Danio rerio: one gene and its partners. The protein of the gene in region 3 interacts with the protein of the main gene of each other region in a pairwise test. Links are inferred from orthologs where the notes say so. Each region holds a gene or a part of one and is shown on either strand. Other genes may lie near its edges.

Region 1 (6,552 bases), on a different chromosome or scaffold from region 3:
TTATTGATCTAAAACGCTGTTTTAAAACTAAAACGCACTAGTGTAAACGGGGCCTAAGATGATTTTGTCGGAAAGCATATCTACATAACAGGGCTGCACAATATATCAGTGTTGAAGGTAATGATTAATTAAATATCTCATTACTTCATCGTAAATGGAGTAAGTTCACAGTACTCATATAGATTAGTTTAACTCGATTGATTTGTAGCAATCGGTTTCCTCAAATGCTTTAAGTTGCCTTAACTTATTGAATTTTAAAGTGTATGTAAAATGCATTTGGCATTCAAGTTTGCTTTGAACTTGAAAGAGAGCGAGAAAAAGATTTTACCCTGTCAGCGTGTGCACATGGCTCCTGAATAGCAAAAAAGTAAGCTAAATAGTAGATTTTTTTTCCAACAGTCTTTCTTATTTTAACCAATTTAAAAAAAAAAAAGTGTAAAATAATCTCATAAATAAAATTATTGTTAAAAATTTAATTATGTTTTGTTTGTCACTCATTAAATATTTATTTGATGTGGGTAAAAGGTGTGTTTCAATCCGGTGACCAGCGCAAGTATATTTCAAACCTGTGGGAAGCACTGTATACAATTAATGTTTAAGCTACAAATAACTACCTGATTTACTGTCACAAGCCTGAAAAACACACACAAATAAAAACTCACTCTAAGTTTAAACTTTGCATTGACTCCACTGTAGTGTCTGGTCAACTATAATCCCAGTTCAACATTGCACATCCTGCAGTGTGAATATTGCAGAGTCACATGTTGCAAAATCTATGCTGAAACAATATATTGTACAGGCCAACTTTCTAGAATGAAAAAGTCCCTATCAGTAACACCCACACACACACACACACACACACACACACACACACACACACACACACACACACACACACACACACACACATCCGACTAGCATTAAAAAAAAGTCTGAGGCTGTGAGGTAAACAAAAGACTACAGGCTCAACTTCCTGTCTCAATAGGAAATGTCAAGTTCATAAATACTGCACTATCAAGTGATTTCATGTGTGCCTTTTTCCCCCCAAGCAGACCGAAATTCTTGTTAGGTGAAAGCATAATCTTTCTGTCTGTAATACCAAAGATACAGTCTAGCAGTCTACAGTTTTAGGTTACAAAAAAAGCTATGCTTGCGATTTTAGCTATGCTGTGGAAAGCCATCGCCCTGCTGTGATATTCACTGCACACTACAATTTGTTGATAGCAGTTGATTAAAGCATAATGCTGATCACCATGCTGAGCTGCATGTGTGATTTTTTTAATAAAGCTGAAATAATTACAAACTAAATTGAACTGAAATAAGCAATGCAATTAAAAAAAACAAGCAGTGGAACTTACCCATCCTCCTCTCCATCAACAGGTAAACTCTTCAGCAGGCTGGCCGAGGCGGATAAGGCATTGACTCCACTGCTTCCCTCTGGACCACGAGAGGTACCGGTTTGGGAGGCACTTTCACCACCGGCTGGCTTGGTTTGTGCGAGCAGAGCCTGGTGCTGTAACAGAAGTAGCTGGGCATCCTCCAGCGGCATCACCGAGGGCCGGGTGCTAACAGCAGGTTGCGGCCCAGTCTCCTTTGAGCCGTTCTGAAACAAACTGGACTGGGGATCACTTTGAATGTTAGGAGGCACGCTTGATGAGGTCACGGCTGGGACGAACTGGGTGCCACGGGCTTGACTGCCGAGCTGTGACTGCTGCTGCTGCTCCATGGAGGGTTGTGAGGTGAGCTGCTGGCCTGGTGTCTGCTGTATAAGAGTGGTGCCAGTGGACTGCACCAGCTGCGGCACAACCTGGACCATCTGCGGGGCGGGTGTCTGTTGTGGCTGCAGGAGCCCTTGCGGAAGTGGCTGAGCAGTAGGGGGCTGCGAGGAGGGTGTGATCATCTGACCATTACCAGCGAGAGCCACAGGAGGGATGGAGGCGGACAGGTGGGGCAGAGTTTTTGTTGACCCAGGTGGCACAGTGCTCAGGATCTGCTTGGATTGGGAGAAGTCAGATGGCAGGCTGCCTCCCTGGCTTAAGGGGTTAACATGTGTTGGTGCTACCTGGGCTGGTGCAGCTGGCTGCTGTGCGGGCGGATAGCCCATCTGCTGCTGGGTCACCACAGGCAGAGCTTGAGCAGGAGGGGATTGGGCTGCTTGGGCATATGTCAGTTTGGGCATATGAGAGGGTAGAGGTGCAGACGATTGAACAATCGTGGTCTGCAATCCTCCGATAGATGCAGGCGGTTGCTGCTGAATGTTTGCTGTTGCCGGCATCGGAGCTGCTGCATTCGTTTTAAGATGCACTTGAACTAAGTCTTGGGGTTGCATCTGAGACATGGGCTGCTGGAAGGTCTGCTTCACAGTAGAGGGGCCGCCCGTTTCACCGCTGCCCAGACTTTCAGTGTAATGGCTAGCTGAGCTGCTGACAGAGCTCCCGCTGACTGTGTCTCGGTCCTGTCCCGCCACACTTTCAGGCACACACTGACGGATACTTTCCACTGTTCGGGTGCTAGGGGCATTTTCAGAGGATGCCACATTTGGGGCTTCCTTATCATAGTACTCTGTACAAGTCCATCTACCCTTCTTAAAAGGCTCAGAGGTAGAGTCCAATTTGACCACTCTGAAACGTGAACTGGTGGAGGCAGGAGTAGGCACTTGGGCCTGCTGAGGCTGAGCGCTCATCACTGGGACAGAGGGTGCAGGCATTGCATGCTGCCCCATGACAGCTGGCCCCATTTGCCCTCCACCTGTTGACGCAACACTACCGGAAACCGTGGCAGCAGCGGTGATGCCCATGCCGATTATTCCACTGGGAACGTGGGTCAAGTTTGGGGTTTGGTTACTAATACTATTCAAAGCAGAGGAGTAGTTTACACTGCTACTATTGGTAGTCTTGCCACCCACAACAGGCACACTGGCAGAGTTTAACACGGAAACATTATTAGTTAAAGTATTACCAGTACTAATCGTGGCACCTGAAGTCACAGAAATCACTCCAGTTCCAGAGGCGAGAGTAGCCAAAGGCTGTCCGATGGCACTAGTTGTGCCAACAGAGGCATTCTCAATCAATCCCACCACATTTGAAGGCATTTTCTGGCCTGTGCTAGCCGAACTTGAGGTCACCACAGATGTGACCGGGGCACCCAAAGGTACCCCAATCAGTGTCCCTCCAGCAGGATGGGTTTTTCCAGAGGAAACAGGATTATGATGGTGATGATGGTGGTGGTGGTGATGGTGGTGGTGAACAGTTCCGTTAACCATGGTGCCATGCAGGTGTGCTTGGGTTATAATGGGTGGCTGGTTGGGTGACAGGGCACCAGGGGTCTCCGCCTCATGAAAATTATTCAGCGTCTCCTCAGAGGAGCTTCTTTCAGGACCTCCTGAATTGTTGGCCCGTGGAAGAGACACATCCATGATTTCAGAGGATGACAAGTCCTCTGTGTGGGACTCATCCAGGTCGTCACAACTCTCTGTGTCTTCTGTAATGCTGTTGTTGGTGCTCACAGATGTCTGCGCCGGGGTGACGCTGGTGATCTGGAAGCCACTCTTCTTCTTCATCTGTGCAACTGCAGTGGGCAACGTTTGGGGTAACATGGGTGTCTGCAAGGGGATACTCAGGCTATGCGGAGGGTTCTGGGGCCCGAGCGAGGACGCAGTCTGCGTTTGAGACTGAATCAGCACTGGTGGGGAATATTCATCCGCCAGCATCAAGTTGTTGCTATTAAGGCTGGTGCTTGCTGAAGTTGTCAATGTAGAGGAACCACCTACTGTGCTGCTGCTGTTCTCCCGTCTGGGTAAACTCATGGGGTAAACCATTTTTCGGGCGCTGCCGGAGTCTCCGGATCGTTCGTGGTGATTCATTGCTGGAGTATAGTCTCTGACAAAGTTATAAACGCAGCTCAAGAGAACAAGCTCTTTTGGGAAAGCAACTTCAAGCCGTTCGAGTAATTTCCACATAAAACCAACACGTTCTTCTAACTGCCACAATAATTCCACTTGAGGTGTATTTAAATGTCCACCATGAGGAGCAGGCTAATGCCAATGCTAAGTTAACAGTCGCTAGCGAGCTAGCCGACACGGATTCGCTTCGGCTGTTGTTTTCAAAGGTATATCCTCACTAAATCACTCAGCACACCATATCGGTGAAGTTTAAGCGTGCAGGAGTCGACACAGACGGCCGAGGCGATTAATATCCAACCTTATAACGACACGGTTTCTCCCCATCACAGTTCAAACTGCCAGGCGCATTTTCAATTGTTGTATCGCAGTCACCAGAGCACGAAATCACACGAAACTAAGTCCTCCAGCCGGCGTCAGATGACAGAGAGAAAGCGAGCAACTCAGCGCTGTCCTGCTTTATTCCATCCCGTGCTTTCTTTTGTTTTATTCCTGTGTTAGCGCAATGTCTCTCTCCCACTCTGCTCCTATTCACCAGCTGCCTCCTTGTAATGTAGCCTGTGCTAGTGCTATGAGCCTGTGACGAGTCCCCGAAAAGGGGAGGAGAGCGCGATAACATGGCGACCGCGCATGGCAGTTCACGTCCACCCGGCCAGACATAAAGCCCAGAGAGTCTGGCGAGGATGGGCGGAGGCGAGGAGGGAGGGGGGTTTCCAGGAGACGGTCGACGAAGAGTTCCGAAGAGGCCCGAGTGGAGCCGAGTGCGACCAACTGTGTTGGTTGAGGGGTGTTTCTTATTATAGCCTTCGGTAACTGTGGCAGCAAACACTCAGAATAACATCTTTTGTCCGCCGTGGTTATTATTATTTGACATTGAAGGAGAGACGAAAAAGGCAGGGCATAGATTTCTGGTTCCCAGTTTTAAATGTATAAAATTTTATATTTATAAAAATCGACTTCAGATTTAATTTTGAACATAAATTAATTATAAAATATAACCTACTACAGATTAAACATATGAACGATTAAGCAAAACGCTATTTTAAGTTAGCTGCTATTGTGTGTGTTGGCCTATACAGGCCAGCTACATCAACAAGATGCAAACAGACCTTGTGACAACAATGTTGTCAACATAGTCCAGAGATTTGTTCTGTTTTTACAAAACAACTCGTCTGAAAGAGAACCCAGATATTTCCACAGACAGAAAAGAGCAACCAAACACATCTGCACTGACACAGTTTTTTTTTTTCACACAATCTGATTGTTGCTGTTTGGGGAGCAGAGAACTAAAGTTCTAGGTGCAGCAGACACAAAAAAAAAACATTCAGCTGTTTTACTTTAACATGAATAATATCCAAAATGTGAACTCAAAATATATGCTTTGTTTCAGACAAGCTACACTATAATACAACAGGAATTTATTACATGTGTGCTGATCCAACTATATTTAGCTTTCAGCTGTGATTGTGAGAATACCATCTTTGTTGTCTGGAACAAGTTTCGCATTATAAACCTCAGATATTTATACCCACACTGATTATTTATACATTCTACCAGAAACTTATACAATCTGTCTCTGAAATAAAAAGATAAATGCAGTGAATAAAAACTTCTTCATCCCAACAATTTCTAAAATGGATTGATAGTGGATTTTTGTGAGTTGTTCAGGAAAGGAATTTGTCTGACAAATCATTTGGTTCTTAGATTTTTGTTCTCAGATTTTTTTATTTTTGTTTACAAACCCAGTCATTGTGTCATATGTGAAAATGTAATAGAATATGTGAAAATTTAATATATAATACATTTTCTAAATGACAATATTCTTATTTGTAATTCTGAAAACACCTTATCAGAGTACTATTTTTTCTTCTACAACACAAATGAACATTTAACACAAACGGACCTACTAATGGCAAATCCAGAGAACAGATAATGATTTTAAAGACTCTTGTTAATTTTTTGAGCATCTATGTGTAAAAATGCTTGTTATATGTAAAAATATTCTGTTTTGTGGGCTAAGCTCAGGCCCACAGCAAGCCTGGTGAAAGTGGTGGTTCTCAAAAAGTGAACCTTTTTATAGTTGTACATCTACATTTTCTTTCCCAGAGGTGAGTTGCAGCTGAAAGGGCATCCGCTGCGTAAAAACTTGCTGGATAAGTTGGCGGTTAATTCCGCTGTGGCGACTCCGGATTAATAAAGGGACTAAGCTGACAAGAAAATGAATGAATAAATGAATCTACATTTTCTATTTAATTATGAGATTTAAATACATTTTAAGCATTCATTTAGCTGGATTGGCTAGTCGGATTAGCTTGAAATATGAAAAAAATACTTATTTTTTAAAATACAAATTTATTACATTTATATATCATTATGGAAAAAATAATCTGTTTTAAATTAAAAACAAGCCTATTGTCATTTATTTGGCAAAATATAAATAACAAACTGTTCAGCACATTTAACGTTCCTCTTTAAAAAATTTGACCATTTGAATAATAATAATAATAATAATAATAATAATAATAATAATAATAATAATAATAATAATAATAATAATAATAATGATAATAATAACAACAATAATATAGAGCTTCACAATGTTTCTAGTCTCTCTTGTAAAACATGTAATTTGATGGGTTTTTCGATAGGTTATT
Region 2 (6,386 bases), on a different chromosome or scaffold from region 3:
ATGGTACAAGATCAGTTTTCCACTCACAAAGCCGTGAACATTGTATTACAAATGCTTTTGTTTGAATAAATGACAACAGTAGTGAACTTCTTTTGCTTCTTTTTTATCTTTGTTTAATTTTAGTTTCACATTAGTGTTTAATTTAGTATATTTAGTCAATATTATTAACAAATATTGGATGACTTTTTATATTGCATGACCTATTTCAAGTCATTAAAGTTATACAATATATATATATATATATATATATATATATATATATATATATATATATATATATATATATATATATATATATATATATATAATAAATATATTAATATTATAATATTAATATAATAATTATATATATATATATATATATATATATATATATATATATATATATATAATTATATATATATATATATATATATATATATATATATATATATATATATATATATATATATATATAATTAATAATAAATATAATACTGTTAGTATTTTGAACATGGAAAATTAAAAGCATATGTTTTACTTGTTCATATTTTAGTAATTACAAAAAGTATTACAGCTGGAAAATAAGCACTATTACTGTTTTATGCTAGCTCTCTTCAATTCTCACATGGTCGCCCACTGAAGCTAAGCAGTGCTGTTCCCTATCACATGGGAAAGCTAGGTTGTAGAAGTCGTGTTAGTGAGACCAGCAAGGGGCGCTCAACCTGTGGTCTGTGTGAGCCTAACGCCCCAGTATAGTGAAGGGGACTCTTTCGGATGAGACGTTAAACTGAGGTCCCGACTCTCTGTGGTCATTAAAAAACCCAAAATGTCCTTCAAAAAAATGAGAAGGGGTTTAACCCCAGCATCCTGGCCAAATTTGCCCAATAGCCTTTGTCCATCATGGGCCCCTAATCATCCCCATAGCATATATGGCTTCATCACTCTGTCTCCTCTCCACCTATCAGCTGGTGTGTGGTGTGTGTTCTGGCACAATACGGCTGCCGTTGAGTCATCCAGGTGGATGCTGGATACTAGTGGTGGATGAGCAAATTCCCCCCAATGTGTAAAGCGCTTTGAATGTCCAGAAAAGCATTATATATATGTTAGAAAATATAATTATTATTTAATTGTAATTTAATTTCTCTATGATAATTTTTATATTGTATGGCCTAATTAAAGTAAAAAGGTTATTTATATAAAGTAATGGTTATAGTTTGAATAAGCGAACATGCAAGAACGTTTATTTTTGTAATTAATATGTTCTGAATAATGTCAACACTAAAACTTAAGCTAGCATTTATAATTGATATACCTTGGAATAACATGGTACCACCACAGTACTTTTTATATCGTACACAAACACATGGATGTATATTGCCACTGTTAAAACAGTATTTAATGACAAAATAAATATATGAAATTAAATGTCATGCAGAAAAGCCATTACATTTCAATTTAAAAAAAAAAAAACATTACAATAGACATTACACACAATTTAAAATCATTCTTCATATTGTCTAAAAAAACACACTGTTCTGTGATCATATAGTGACTGAAATTAAATTCATTATGCCAGGATATTTTTATATTGTTTGCACATTCGATTTTCAGTTATGACTTGCACCACCTCAGATGTTTTTTAGTTTAGTTTTGTTTTGTTTTTAAGGAACAGCATATGACATTTTACATAAATAATTTAGATGCCAGGGGGAGGAAGAATTAACATAATACAAAATCTACTTATGCAGTAATTATATTAATACATTATAAAGTTTACACAATTTTAAAGTGTGAAGTGCTTTCTAGTAGAGAGTCTCTGATACTGAAAATAAAAGCGTATTTCAGTCAACAAAACTTTAAATTAGGATTCTTTTGTATTTATTATTGCTCTTATTTTGCTTTATTAACAAAAACCAGGGAGCGACATGGTGGCTTATTGGTTAGCACTGTTGCCTCACAGCAAAGAAAGTTGCTAGTTGGAGTCCTGGCTGAGTCAGTTGGCATTTCTTTGTGGAGTTAGCATATTCTCCCCATGTCGGTGTGGGTTTCCTCCGGATGCTCCGGTTTCCCCCAAAGACATGCGTTATAGGTGAACTAAACTGTCCACAGTGTATGTGTCTGCAATGAGAGTGTATGGATGTTTCCAAGTTCTGGGTTGCAGCTGGAAGGGCATCCGCTGTGTAAAACATATGCTGGATAAGTTGGCGGTTCATTCTACTGTGTCGACACCTGATAAATAAAGGGGCTAAGCCAAAGGAAAATGAATGAATGAACAAGAACCAGCATTTAGTTTCATTATACAATTTAATCACTTCACAATCCTTAACAAGAAGGAATAAATGAGATAAGAAAAATAAAATAATGATAAAAAAAAAGAGGGAGTGGGTGCATAATTATCAATTTACATTAAAAAAAAATTTTTTTTTTTCAAATGTAGTTATTTACAAAAGTTAAAACACCAACTAGGAGCTCCGGCCAGGAGACGGCGCTGTGGACAGTTTGCCCCCGGGTTTCAGTCGCTCGTTCGCGGAATGCGCAGTGTGTGAGGTCGCAGCTGTCATGGCGGCGTGCAGGGCGCTCGTGAGTCGTGCCGTTTTGCCTTTGCATTATCATCATGTGTGCAGAGGAGTGATGCTCACCCAAATCAGAGAGAAGAAGAGATGGATGAAGGCCTACATGTTCGTCATGCGCAAGAAGTTGAAGCTGGAGGGACCTCCAGCTCCAAAGCCACGGTCAGTAAAGCATCTCAAGGCCACTTATGAGTGAGACACAGGGCTGTGACACAAATCATGTTCAACCGCCTTCCTAGGATGCATATATGGGTGTCAAGAGGGCTTAAGGATTGAGGTAAAGTTGGTTTTATATTCGCACATTCGTTCAGTGACAACTTGTGACAAGCTTCTTATGTTTACCATGCTACTTTGAGTATTGGGTCTGGTCAATCACAGGTAGGTATGACTTGAAAACAGCATTAGCAGCAGCATTATTTATTTGACTGAACAATACTGTACTTTGATAGTCGTTTGGCTGCTAATATGATTTCACTATTTAGAATTTGCAAACAATATTTTGGTGAAATTATAATAGTAAGCTGAAAGCCCGAATGTGATAATATAATACCAACTTTACCTCAGTTGCTTAAGAGTGTACGTTATCTGTGTTGACCAAAAAAAAGACAGCTCACAGGAAATTGAGACACAGCCAATGAGTACAAATGTCCAGATGCACTAAACAAATGTACTAAACACAGTTAACTATTGTTATTTCACATTTAGTGTTCAATAGTTCAACAAAGAAGTAAATATCATTCTAATTGTAGTAAAGCTATATGCATACCATCTGTCTAAATAATTTGCGTTATAGAGCCATAGAGCTGTTTGTTTCAATATTAGTGGTTAATTTAAGTAGATGATTTGGCTTGAGCAATAAAAATAATATTTACAAGAATTTTCAATTGTTAGTTATAGACCATTTCCATGCGTAAACATGAAATTCAATTCAATTCAATTGTTTTTTGTCATGTGCACAGTAAGGAAACACGTTTCCCTGTACAATGAAATTCTTACTTTGCCGTCCACAATGGTTTTTGTTTTCCGAGTATTCAGTTAGCATTTCATGTATGCATTTTAAATATGAATAACTTTGGGTGGCATTTTTTTATTTTGCGATAAATATTGCGATATGAATACAATTTCACCAGATGACTTAATATCTCTGTTCGAAAAGAATTTATAATATTAGATCACCTGGGATGATTTTGCAGTGGGAGTGCATCTCCATAAAATCTAATAAGCAATCTATACATTTTTTGGGTCTCCTGACACATTTTCACAGTTGTCTTTGCTATTTGCTGTGCATTTCTGTATTTGCATGTGTTGTGAGTGTTTTTATGCACTTGTTTAGTCAGAGATTGATTACTTAATGTTCAATATTTGCATCTCCATCAAATCTAGTAAACAATCTATAAACTTTTTGGGTTTACCCAACTTATTTTCGTTGTGGTTTAAGCTATTTGCAGTGCATTTCTGTATTTGCATGTGTTGTGAGTATTTTCTATAAATACAATACAGAAAAATATACAATTGAAATAAAGTGTTTCAGCGTTTACCGAGTCTTTCAGTATTCAAATACAGTAACTGAATGGTACAAAAAAAATTCAATAAACTTAATCAAAGTTAAAAACACAAATGGTGCAATTTCTTATACCTGAATACTTTTAAAATAATTATACAATCACAGGCATCAAAAACACATGCAAGTGATAAATTATAATACAAACTCAACATTAATCATCAATAAGCTATCTTACTAAATTAATAATACAGGTTTGAAAGAATATAAAGATAAATTAATGGGGGAATTATCTTTTGTAAATGATTAAAAGACATCTATATTAATAAAATTGTATTAAATAAAATTATAAATACACTACCTGACAAGTCTTGTCGTCAATCTTGACTGCTAGTTGATCATTTAGAAATGTGGCAGAAGGTAGATTTTTCTGATGAATTATGTTGAACTGCATCCCAATCATCACAAATACTGCAGATTACGTATTGGAACCTGCATGGACCAAAGATTCTTACAGAAATCATTCAAGTTTGGTGAAGGAAAAGTCATGGTTTGGGGTTGCATTCAGTGTGGGGGCAAGCGAGAGATTTGCTGAGTGGATGGCAACATCAACAGCCTGAGGTATCAATACATTTGTGCTGCCCATTACGTTACAAAGCACAGGAGGGGGTGAATTCTTCATCACGATAGCGCTCCTCTTCATACTTCAACCTCCACATCAAAGTTCCTGAAAGCAAAGAAGGTCAAGGTGCTCTACTATTGACCAGCCCACTCACCAGATATGAACATTATTGAGCATGTCTGAGGTAAGATGGAGGAGCAGGCATTGAAGATGAATCCAAAGAATCTTGATGAACTCTGGGAGTCCTGCAAGAACGCTTTCTTTGCCATTCCAGATGACTTTATTGATAAGTTATTTGAGTCATTGCAGAGATGTATGGATGCAGTCCTCCAAGCTCATGGGAGTCATATCAACTCTTTTTGCACTGCACCATGACTTAATATTCTATTGTGCATTATTTATATTAAATGACAAGACTTTTGTCTAAGCAAAGTCAGACCTTACTGTCCTAATTAAATCATTAAAAATCAAGGCATGATCAGTTTTATTTTGGTAAATTAAGCATAATCTAGAGGCCTTTGCCTTTCATATAAGCCTCGTCTGATACCAATTGATCAACTAGAAGTCAAGTTATTATTGGTTGTTCCTAAAACTTGGATAGGCAACAAGGCTTTTGTCAGGTGGTGTATATACATTTTGTGTGCAAGTGTGTATGTGTGTTTCACTATAATTGTATTGATATTGATGTTTTGTCCACATCACCTCTGAAATTATGTCTCCATCCATGGCTTTAACTCTCTTGTGTCTTGTCTTTTGATCAGCTCTGAACAGCCGAACTTTGATTACCATGCTGAGGTGGAAGCTTTCGGAGTCCGTCTGCAGGAGAGTTTCTCTGTGGATTTGCTGAAGACGGCGTTTGTGAATTCCTGTTACCTACGCTCTGAGGTGGAGAGGAGGAAAGCGCTGGGTTTGGATTCAGAGTCCGCCATCCTTAACCTGAAAGACAACACTGAGCTGCGTGATCACGGTCAACACTTCACTACGGTAAGCACAGTCAGATCACAGTTGCCACGCCAGACAAAGCAGATCTATGCCCGGTTGCCAGATCTGTTTTGTTGATATCTGTCTAACATCAAAACTGTATTAATTAGGCTTTTATCAAAGAGGAACTTGGCTGTAAAATGCAGAAGCAGGAGCCAACGGAAAGGTAGTAAAGAAAAGTAGAGTTAAATCATCTGAGTTGCAAGATTTGAACAGATTTATGCATGTTGAAAATCAACGTTAGAATCTGTTAAAACAACGTTAGTATCTGTTAGCTTTTACTGTAAGGGAAAAACTGGCTAATTTTGAGCTTTACCCCTCTAATTTTTTAAAATCTTTCAGCTTTAAAATCTCTGTCAGGCAGCGTTACTTTTGGTGATGTAGCATAAGCCTCTGTGTACTCCAGTGAAGTGTTAGCTGTCTAAATATTATTCATGAGACTGAGTTTTGTTATTCTATAGGAAGAGCTGCTTCTGAATAATTCAGTCAGTCTGACTTATGAAATCAAATATCCCTCAAACATACACAATATAATTTAAACAACAGAGGTTAAACCATAGTTATAACACTAAATATATGATTAAATTAACCCTTGTGTATTGTTGAAATGCACTACCCTTTCATAATCTTTTTGGCTGTTTTTACCCCATTGACTTTCATTATAATGACATTTTTTGATTGCAAAGCCATGACAGCATATAATCCTGCATTCTTGATTGTTGGTGGTTTT
Region 3 (4,631 bases):
TATCTGGTAGTTGATGACATGATAAGCAAGCGTGTGAATTTGTTGAAATAAAGAAGAAAAAACAAAATAAAAGGGATACATCGGTCATACAGCGCTGTTGTGGCTGCGGTGTGTCACATGACAAACATGATGCATCGCCACGGAAACATTAAGAATAAACAGTATAAAATAATGATTGCCTAAAGCAGGTCGCACACCAGAAGCGCCGCTTGGCAGTTCATTTTTCAGCCGCGCCACAGAGCTCCTTCTGATTAGTTTCATGTTAAATATCATTCAAATGTGTGCGTCTGGTGTGCGATACTTTAAACTGTCTTGTGCGCGGCGCCGAGCGGCGCTTCTGGTGTGCGACCTGCTTAATAAAGCTCACACCAGGGCCATATAGAATCTTTTAAACTTACCAGTGAAAAAGTTAATAACAGAAAGAAAGCAGCAGTGTATACTTTGCATTGCAAGATTTTCATTTTTCCTTTTGTTGTCATAGCTACACTGCATTTTCTCACTTAGTCATTTTGTCTAGTTTCCAGTTCAAAATCTAAAAAATCTTAAATCAAGATTACTAGACAAGAAAAACGACATGAGAAAATGAAGTAATGCTTAAAAGTTCTGTTTGCGATTATATCTCATTAAGATTATATTTCCTACCCCATTGGCAAATATTTTAACTTGTTTTAAGCAAACAATCACTTCATTTTAAGTTTGTTTTTTTTTTTTTCAGAAAACAAGACATTTTTTTATTCTATTTCATGTGTCTAGTATGTATCATGATTTAAGTTTGTTTTTTAGATATTTGGATTGAAAACAGCACAAAACTACTTCGTTTTTATTATTATTATTATTATAACAGCTTAGGAATGAGCTTTTTTGAATAAAGGATTGGAAATGAAGGCTTTTCTTGTTTTTCTTTTTTAATCGGAATTATCAATTAATAAAAAAAAGTCAACAGATTTATCGGTTCTCAAAATAATCGTTAGTTGCAGCTGTAAAAACAAGCAGACCCTAGTTGTATATATGCTTTAAAAAAAAACTCTTTTAATTGAGATGTATTGTCAGTTATATTCTGAATCAATTAGGTAGCTTTAAAAGTGTTATGAAAGGGGCAGGGCATGTCAGATACTTGAGAGCATTTAATTGGTCAAGATTTGATGAGAAACAGAAGTATGAGGTGACATGAAAAAAATTGTTGATCCATTTAATGTGGAAGTGACAAACTGCAAACGTAGGATGTTTATATTAGGTTTATTTTTTCTAAATATTAATTTTGTCACTGGTTTGTAGCACACTAGCTTATAGATATCTTTAAGACTATTATACAGTTAATTACATCAAAAAACCTTTATTTTCAGTTCACGGGACCTTTGAAAAAGTTTTTAAATAATTTACATTTGATTTGGTGATACCTGAAAAAAAATCCTGGGCCAGTATTCAGAGAGTAGGTGGTGTTTGTGACTGTTTGAATACATTTAAATATATTAGCATCTATACTATTAACACAATCCATTTCTAATGCATTTTCATCTGCCTCTGGAAGTGGTATAGGAACAAGCTCCCAATAGCTGTGTTTCCATCCACCTATTTCTATGTGCATAAAAAGTCAGTTGATGTAAACGCCAAGATACACACTGAATAGCATAAACTTTTTATTAACCTCTTAAGGCACAAGGTGTTTTTTATGCATTTTTCTCTTTGTTATTTGGGCCTATTAGAACCTAATTAAAATAAAAACCTTGGGTTCGAATTTACATAAAACACTTTTTCCTGAATTTTTTTGAATGCCTATTTTACATTGAATTTTTTTAACCTACTTTGACTCTCAGACAATAAAAACAATTTTTTCCCCCCATTTTGGACAGTTAAAAGTAGTGTTTGGGACATTTCATATGCTGCAAAACAGTTGCAAGATGACACTGTATGTAATAAAATATAAAAACATTCAAAGTATTTTAAATAGCCACTTAAAAGCTAAAATGTGCTGTCCACTTATGTGGACAATTAAGCCCTAGGAGGTTAAACTACGATGGAAACACTTTTACCGAACAAATTCCAGTATGTGCATTAAAAAAAAAGTCACGCGATTTTGTTATACAAGATATGTTGTAAGTTGTGATTTTGTTGTAAGAGATGATAAAAATGTGTGTGAATGGACAAACCATCACATTGTAAATCATCTGAAATGTTGTTTTGGTTATTATAAAATGCCTTAACCATTTCAGTATCAGTTTTATTATATTATTAATTACCTCCAGAACTGTCAAGAGCGTCTGTGCTCCGCATCTCAGACCTTCAAACACCACCACGCATTCATTGTGTGTCGGCATCATCTTCTGAGGTGCAAATAATTTATTAAATAAGGAAAAGCTTCACGCAGCGTCTCCTATCACTGTAAATTCTGTTTTACTGTTGATTTTTGGTGCCAGTTTATCAGGAAGTAACGATTTTGTTCTCTTTGACCCGTTTATGCGAAATTACTGTTTTGCGCATACATTTAATTGACATTTTTAATGGAAACATAGCTACTGTTTCAGACCCTGCTTAAACTTGTATTTAGCATAAGTGACAAGTACATCTTAATACCAGCTGTAAAGGCTTTAGATTTACGTTTGGTTTCTGCTTTGAGTTGTTCAACTAACGGCTTTTGATTGAGTTTGAACTGTTTGACTGTCAGAATATTAAATGATTATCAGGCTGCATGTAAACACTGCTCTTGCCTTTGTGTTTTTACAGGCGAATCCGAGCAGGGACGGAGCTGACGTGGGACTATAATTATGAGGTAGGCAGTGTAGAGGGCAAGGAACTTCTGTGCTGCTGTGGATCAACAGAATGCAGAGGACGACTGCTGTAACACACACTTGAACACATGCACTAAAGGTATCTCCTTTTGGGCCGCTGAACACTTACTTGGAGCTCCTGGAAGCTGAATTAGTACAGAGATGTCTGTGCTACTGATAAGAACTCTGCAGATACTAAATGAGAGGAAAATTGTTCAGGAACTTATTGAATTTGTAAAATAGGTGTACGTGAGCATGTCCTGCTTCACAGGGTTCCGCCTTAAACCCTAAATGGGCACATTGTGTCTATCACAATGTCTATCTGTGGTTTAGCAGTCCTTCCCATTAATATCCCTCTTTTTTCTTTTCTTTTTTACATGTATGCAATCATCAGTCTCAACACCCTTCTGTTTTGCTTGGTTATATTTGTCCTCTTTTACATCCTATGTAGTTTTGATAATGAGGACCCGAGTGTTTTGTTTTATCATTTTATTCATGGTTTTGTGTTATTGTATGCTAATGTGTAAATGTGCTTTTGTTGGTCAGTAAGTTTATGAAAACAGGCAAAATTGTACTTTTGTCACAATTTGAATTAAAGTTCTCCAAAGACCATAAATGTCATTTTCTCCTGTGGCCAGGGCTTAACATTTTTGATCATCAAAATCCTGATATTGATTCGTCAGGATGGCAACCGAAATCCAACATCTGATAAATGTCATAGTGGTAACGTCCACACAACTTCAAGCTGTAACATCATTAGACGTTGATATTTGGTTGATTTTAGGCTGGATGTTGGACATTGATGTTGGCCTGACATTGGGTTCTGATGTCAACCTAATTTTCATTGCATGTGGACGTCTAGTGCCTGCTAGGTGTTTAAGGCCATTTCAGTCATCACACAGTAAGCATCCATCATCTTCTCATTAAGCACATGGATCTAAAAAACCTCTTGAGTCAATGCGTGTAAAGATTTTGGACATCTTCTTGGACACTTATACCGCTTCCAAACCGTTATAAATTGCAGATGTATTGAGGTAGTTAGTTATGATGTGATTTACCTTCTATGTGCAATTTAATTATACAGGAATCACAGAACTGATTTTTCTAATCCTCATAGACAGGATAAAGAAGTAGTGACTGCAGGTTGAAGGAACGTAGTGGAGTAAAAGTACCAATACTTCAATAAAAATGTACTCAAGGGAAAGTAAAAGTACACAATTTTAAAACTACTTGTTAAATTACAATTTCTGAGAAAATCTAGTCAATTGCATTAGTTTGAGCATTTGTAATTTGTTACTTTACACCACTGCTAGCCACTCAGCATTTTCACTTGCCAGAATTTTGTTGTTAGGAAAATATATTTTATATGCATAAGTTTAACTTTGACACGCTAAAAATTATTTGATTTAGCCATAGTGTTGCATTGCAACTCATTTTTATTTCACATGACTGTTTAGGGTTCAACAGTAAGGATTTACCAAATTTAAAAATGTCAAAAAAAAGCCTAATATAGCTGTATGTATGCTCTTTTTATTTAACAAAACCTTTCTTTAAAAAAAAACAAAGCAATTGACATTTAAAAAATAAATATTGCCATTTATCTCAAACTATGTACAGCCGTCCGTCCTGGCTCACAGATCACCAGTTAACTACACTTAAATGGGGAGTTAATCCCCTACAGCAGGGGTCACCAATCCTGGTTCTGGAGGGCCGGAGTCCCTGCAGGGTTTAGCTCCATCTTGCCTCAACACACCTGCCTGGATGTTTCAAGTATACCTAGTTAGACCTTGATTAGCTCGTTCAGGTGTGTTTGATTAGGGTTGGAGCTAAAATCTGCAGGACACCGGCCCTTCAGGAACAAGTTTG
Region 4 (6,324 bases), on a different chromosome or scaffold from region 3:
CGAATCATTCCTCATCCCTCCCTCACTCCCTCACTCACTCCCTCACTCCCTCACTCACTCCCTCACTCACTCACTCCCTCACTCACTCACTCACTCACTCACTCACTCACTCCCTCACTCCCTCACTCACTCCCTCACTCACTCCCTCACTCACTCACTCCCTCACTCACTCACTCACTCACTCACTCACTCACTCACTCCCTCACTCACTCACTCACTCACTCACTCCCTCACTCACTCACTCCCTCACTCCCTCCCTCACTCACTCCCTCACTCACTCCCTCACTCACTCACTCCCTCACTCACTCACTCACTCACTCACTCACTCACTCCCTCACTCACTCACTCACTCACTCACTCCCTCACTCACTCACTCCCTCACTCCCTCCCTCACTCACTCCCTCACTCACTCCCTCACTCACTCCCTCACTCACTCCCTCACTCACTCACTCCCTCACTCCCTCCCTCACTCACTCACTCACTCCCTCACTCCCTCACTCACTCCCTCACTCACTCTCTCACTCCCTCCCTCACTCCCTCCCTCACTCACTCACTCACTCACTCACTCACTCACTCACCACTCACTCACTCCCTCACTCACTCACTCACTCCCTCCCTCACTCCCTCACTCACTCCCTCACTCACTCTCTCACTCCCTCACTCACTCACTCCCTCACTCACTCCCTCACTCCCTCCCTCACTCTCTCACTCCCTCCCTCACTCACTCACTCCCTCACTCACTCACTCACTCCCTCACTCACTCACTCACTCCCTCACTCACTCCCTCCCTCACTCACTCCCTCACTCCCTCTCTCACTCCCTCCCTCACTCACTCTCTCACTCCCTCACTCACTCCCTCACTCACTCCCTCACTCCCTCCCTCACTCACTCTCTCACTCCCTCCCTCACTCACTCTCTCACTCCCTCACTCACTCCCTCACTCACTCTCTCACTCCCTCACTCACTCACTCCCTCACTCACTCCCTCACTCCCTCCCTCACTCACTCTCTCACTCCCTCCCTCACTCACTCACTCCCTCACTCACTCACTCACTCCCTCACTCACTCCCTCACTCCCTCCCTCACTCACTCTCTCACTCCCTCCCTCACTCACTCACTCCCTCACTCACTCACTCACTCCCTCACTCCCTCACTCACTCCCTCACTCACTCCCTCCCTCACTCACTCCCTCACTCGTCACATGGGCAGTTTGTTTAGCATGATCGTCATGCAGAGATCCTCCTCTGTGAACACTAATAACATCACACTGATGGAGAACGAGCACTGAAGGGTCAGTTCACCCACAAATCGACATCTACTTAGGGTTATCTCTCCCTCACGGGGTCTTTAACCCATCTTCTGTTAAACATTAAGAAGATATTTAGAAAAATGTTGAACACCAGCAACCATTGACTTATATACTATTTGTTTCTCCTACTTTAGATGTCAATAATTACAACATTTTTCCAAATATCTTCTTTCATGTTGAACAGAAGAGAGAAGCTCCAACAGGTTTCAGACCCCCTGAGGGAGAGATAAGCGCCAGTAGATGTTGATTTGTGGGTGAACTGACCCTTTAAGCCAGCGGAGTCAAACTCAGTTCCTGGAGGGCCGCAGCCCTGCACAGTTCAGCTCCAGCCCTGCTCCAACACACTCACCTGGAGCTTTCAAACAAGCCAGAAGGACTCAATTAGTGTGATCAGCTGTGTTTAATTAGGGGAAAACTAAACTGAGCAGAGCTGCGGCCCTCCAGGAACTGACTTTGACACCCCTGATTTAAGCTCCTCTTCATCACAGAGCAGATGAACACACACACACACACACTCAGGGAATGTTTATCTTCAGTCTGCTGGCTTGTGTGTGTGTGTGTGTGTGTGTGTGTGTGTGTGTGTAGAGCAGCATCACTCGCTGAAGAAGGGATGATCCAGAGCGTTCAGCGCAGAGATCCTCTTCAGCGGGTCGAAGGTCAGCATTTTCTGTCAACACAAGAACACAGAGCTGTCAGCGCGTCTCTCACATCACTCATGCGTTTAGCATCTCCTGCTGAACACGAGCGGTCAGCAGATCCAGGTGACCGATGCAGCATCACTCTCTCCTACAGCGCCCTGCGTCTGAGCTGTGTGTGTTGTGCTCAGGGTTATCTGTCGGTGTGTGTGTAAACGTACCAGCAATAGCTCCGCCCCTTTCTCTGTGATGTCCGGAACGCAGTCTGTGATTGGCCGAGGGCTCTGAGGGCTGAAGTTGTGGTGGGAAAGAGTGACGTCTGTGGGCCACTGATCCTCCGCCGGCAGACCGATCACCCTGAGGGACACACTGATCCGTCAATAACACACCTCATCTCTCTGTGTGAATGTGTGTGTGTGTGTGTGTGTGTTTGACATACGCAAAGATCTTCCCCAGCTGGTCCGCCTCTGAATCTCCGCAGAACAGAGGCCTGAAGAGGAGAATCAGGACAGAATCATCAACTCAAGCTCACAAACCAGAGGACATACAGCAGCAGATCTGCAGCCGCTGACACACACGCGCACGCACGCACGCACGCACGCACGCACACACACACACACACACACTCTGCTGAGACTCACTTGCGTCTGAACATCTCGGCAAAGATGCAGCCGGTGCTCCAGATGTCCACTGGTGTGGCGTATGTGCTCTGCAGGAGCACCTCAGGAGAGCGATACCACAGCGTCACCACCTGACACACACACACACACACACACACACACACACACACACACACACATACACATCAGTATTTGTGTGTCAGCAGTGTGTTCACAGGACATTGTGTGTCTCTGTGTGTGTGTGTGTGTGTGTGTGTGTGTGTGTGTGTGTGTGTGTGTGTGTGTGTGTGTGTGAGTGTCTCACCACCGGGGTCAGTGCCATGTGGCAGCTGTAGATGCGCGCCAGCCCGAAGTCCGCCAGCTTCACCTGCCCTCTGCTGGTCACCAGGATGTTCTCCGGCTTCAGATCCCGATGGAGAACTCGATTAGTGTGCAGGAACGCCAGACCACACAGCAGCTGCTGCATCAGGTCCTACACACACACACACACACGCACACACACACACGCACACACACACACATTACAGGAACGCAAGACAACACAACAACTGCTGCATCAGGACCTGCAGAACACACACACACACTCTCTCTCTCTCCATGTTATTCAGCAGGTGTTATCAGGGAATAACACACTGTTGAAGTGTCAGAAATGACCAATCAGCCCTCCAGACAGCTGTCTAATAAATACAATTAAAGCATGCTGTAATGCTTTATAAAGGATTATGAAGGCCCTGTGATATTGAAATAATGTGAGCATCAGTGTGTTAGTCGTGCTGATATCTATAATATCCAGAAACAGAGACGACATTCACATTGAGCAGATAGAACGTCTGCAGTTTGTCTCGTCCGCCTAAATGGATCAAGCACATCACTTCATACAGCAGTTTCTCATCAAATATCCTGACCAATCACACGCTCTCTCCTGTCTGGCATGCCCCGCCCTCTTCTTCTCATTGGTTGTTCATCTGATGCGCTTGAGCTCAACCACGTTTATACAGATGATGCCATCATTCATCACCGATGGCCGATAGACAACACGATGCTGAGCCGGCATCGCCAATCCTCCACCCCGCCCCGCCCCCATCGCAAACCCGCTCGCAAACAACACATACTCACAAACCCGCTCGCAAACAACACACACTCAGGCCCCGCTTACACTGACACAGCTTACTTTATACATGGCATGCGCTCAGCTGAGAAGACCCCGCTCTGACCAATTAACCCACAATATAACTGAACTATTGGTCAAACAATAAATATTCATGTGTGTGTGTGTGTGTGTGTGTGTGTGTGTGTGTGTGTCTTACTCTGATTTTGTCCACAGGCAGTCCCGGTGCTGGAACTTTCTCCAGGTATGTCCTGAGATCCTGATCCACATGTTCAAACACCAGCGTCACTTTAGTCTCCTGATCCGTCCTGAGGGTCGCGCACACGTCCATCAGCCTGAAACACACACACACACACACACAGATTACACACTTACAAAATGCCTGATCATAGACACACACACCCCGTCATCACGCACAGAGGACGCGACACACAGATTACGAGATCTTTCAGCAAAACAAGAACCTCAAACAAACAGTTGCAGAACTACTACAGTTCTGAAGGAGATCAGTGTGTGTGTGTGTGTGTGTGTGTGTGTGTGTGTGTGTGCCCATGAGTAATTGTGTGTATCAGTGATTGTGTGTGTGTATGTAACTGTGTGTGTGTACCTGACGATGTTGGGATGGTCGAACTGCTCCAGGCGCTTCAGCAGAGCCACCTCTCGAACCGTGGACAGTGGGAGTCCGTCCTGATTGGTCTGCACCCGAACGCTCTTCAGCGCCACAAACTGCCCGCTGTCCCGATCCCGAGCCTTATAGACGGTCCCGTAAGCCCCGCCCCCGATCTCTGCTACTGGCTCATACTGCAGCCCCACCTCCTGCGCCATCTGCAAACACACACACATTACTGTGCCATCACCTGATGCACGCGCACACAAGTTCCTCTGCAGGCATCATTACCTGCACAAACATACACACGCTCACACACCTGTACACACACACACACACACCTGTACATGTGCACACACTGCTGTCAGTATGTGTGTGTGACTCTGCTGTAAGACAGAAACATCAGTTTTAGCTGTATTAAGACAAACCTGCACACACACACACACACACACACACCAGTTTCTCCACATTTACTCAACAGCTCAGTTGTGTGGCGCTGCTGGTTGTGTAAACAGGCCACAAACACACAAACCCAGAGCCTGAAAGCACATCACCATCACTAGAGCCAGAACAACCTCGAACACACTCTGTGTGTGTGTGTGTGTGTGTGTGTGTGTGTGTGTGTGTGTGTGTGTGTGTTAATACGCACACTTTGATTCTCCTCTTTCTTAATATAAGACTTCTCTGATGATCATTAGTGTGACATACAGACATGTAGGCTGTCATTGATCTAAATAAACTGTACACACACACACACACACACACACACACACACACAGTAAAGCAAGCAACACTGCATTTCTGCTGCCCAGCGCTGCACCATTACAACATTTCCCCACAAAAAACTTCCTAAAATGTCAAAAATTGACTTTATTTTTAAACATTTTCCATATTTGAGTGTTTGGTGGATGATGATGACCTGTAATTTACTGCTTCTCACACACAACATGTAAATATATATATATATATTTGGTGCATCAGTAAAGCTGGCCACTGTGCGCTGTTCATCCTCCCTCCTGTTTAATGTTTATAAGTGTGTGATAATTGTAGAAGTGTTTCAGTGAGGTTAACTCTGTGTTCATAGTATAAGAGAGCGTGTTTTTCTTAATAACTGTACATTTTCTTTGATATGACACCACACAGGCTCCTTATATTGATGTGTGTGTGTGTGTGTGTGTGTGTGTGTGTTCAGTAGAGCTCCTGCAGTTGTCTTCTCCGTGTTCTGCACTCTTCAGCTCAGCGGCAGTGTGAGGATGTGTTTACCCGCTGCTGCTGGAGGAGTGTGTCCTGCACCGCTGTAATGAGGTAAACTGTGGTAAAGCGCTGTTAGTGCTGGCCGGAGCTGCTCATTCCCAGGAGGAGCAGAACAACATCAGTCACAATCACGACACTCACAGACTCAACAACACAACAACAACAACACGTCATCAAACACATCCACCGAGCTGAACCAGCATAATCGAGACATCATAACACGGGTCATTACGAGCACTGTATATACTGAACACACACACACACACACACACACTTCTGAGCACTCACCACGTTTCTCCGCGCGTGCACAGCTAGTTAAACTAGTTTATGAGAGTGCAGCGCGCATCGCTTCTGCTCCGCGGCGCTCAGATGCGGGCTGTTGTGCGGAGTTTGCTGTTGACTGAGGATTTCAGTTCATATTTCAGAAGTTTAACTCATTAAAGTTTGTGTGAGAAACTCTGGCCTGTTCACAGTCTGTCTCAACTCACTTCCTGTTTGATCTCAAGGCGGAGCGACACGACTAGACCCTCACACACTTCAGCCAATCACAACACACTTCCAGCAGTCACCTAACACACTTACACCAGTAAACTTACCTCACTAGCACACTTACACCAGTAAACTTACCTCACTAACACACTTACACCAGTAAACCTCAATATTACCCTAATAAACGACTTGAACTGCATCCCCACATCAGCAGACATTGGGTGAGTGTGAACACGTGTGCTGTGAGTTGTGTTTGACTGCAGGTAATTCAGCACACATGATTAATGTGCTCCTCATCATTTA

The links.
Region 1: the proteins of setdb1b (region 3) and tsc22d1 interact in a two-hybrid assay, tested with the Homo sapiens proteins (2 studies listed by BioGRID and IntAct). The link is inferred for Danio rerio from reciprocal best matches to the Homo sapiens genes SETDB1 and TSC22D1.
Region 2: the proteins of setdb1b (region 3) and mrpl44 interact in a two-hybrid assay, tested with the Homo sapiens proteins (2 studies listed by BioGRID and IntAct). The link is inferred for Danio rerio from reciprocal best matches to the Homo sapiens genes SETDB1 and MRPL44.
Region 4: the proteins of setdb1b (region 3) and cdk4 interact in a two-hybrid assay, tested with the Homo sapiens proteins (2 studies listed by BioGRID and IntAct). The link is inferred for Danio rerio from reciprocal best matches to the Homo sapiens genes SETDB1 and CDK4.

Annotation. Positions count from the first base shown.
Region 1 is NC_133184.1:20,414,444-20,420,995, forward strand, and holds the start of tsc22d1 (TSC22 domain family protein 1), read right to left. Parts: upstream 4,510-6,552; 5' UTR 3,959-4,509; coding exon 1,359-3,958; intron 1-1,358. UniProt on the Homo sapiens protein: Transcriptional repressor. Acts on the C-type natriuretic peptide (CNP) promoter. Acts to promote CASP3-mediated apoptosis.
Region 2 is NC_133190.1:37,850,284-37,856,669, reverse strand, and holds the start of mrpl44 (large ribosomal subunit protein mL44), read left to right. Parts: upstream 1-2,460; 5' UTR 2,461-2,541; coding exon 2,542-2,714; intron 2,715-5,436; coding exon 5,437-5,659; intron 5,660-6,386. UniProt on the Homo sapiens protein: Component of the 39S subunit of mitochondrial ribosome. May have a function in the assembly/stability of nascent mitochondrial polypeptides exiting the ribosome.
Region 3 is NC_133191.1:23,260,555-23,265,185, reverse strand, and holds the end of setdb1b (histone-lysine N-methyltransferase SETDB1-B), read left to right. Parts: intron 1-2,721; coding exon 2,722-2,839; 3' UTR 2,840-3,381; downstream 3,382-4,631. UniProt on the Homo sapiens protein: Histone methyltransferase that specifically trimethylates 'Lys-9' of histone H3. H3 'Lys-9' trimethylation represents a specific tag for epigenetic transcriptional repression by recruiting HP1 (CBX1, CBX3 and/or CBX5) proteins to methylated histones.
Region 4 is NC_133186.1:159,287-165,610, forward strand, and holds the end of cdk4 (cyclin-dependent kinase 4), read right to left. Parts: intron 6,027-6,324; exon of another isoform or gene 5,821-6,026; intron 4,497-5,820; coding exon 4,279-4,496; intron 4,007-4,278; coding exon 3,871-4,006; intron 3,036-3,870; coding exon 2,868-3,035; intron 2,695-2,867; coding exon 2,585-2,694; intron 2,434-2,584; coding exon 2,383-2,433; intron 2,301-2,382; coding exon 2,165-2,300; intron 1,976-2,164; coding exon 1,901-1,975; 3' UTR 1,769-1,900; downstream 1-1,768.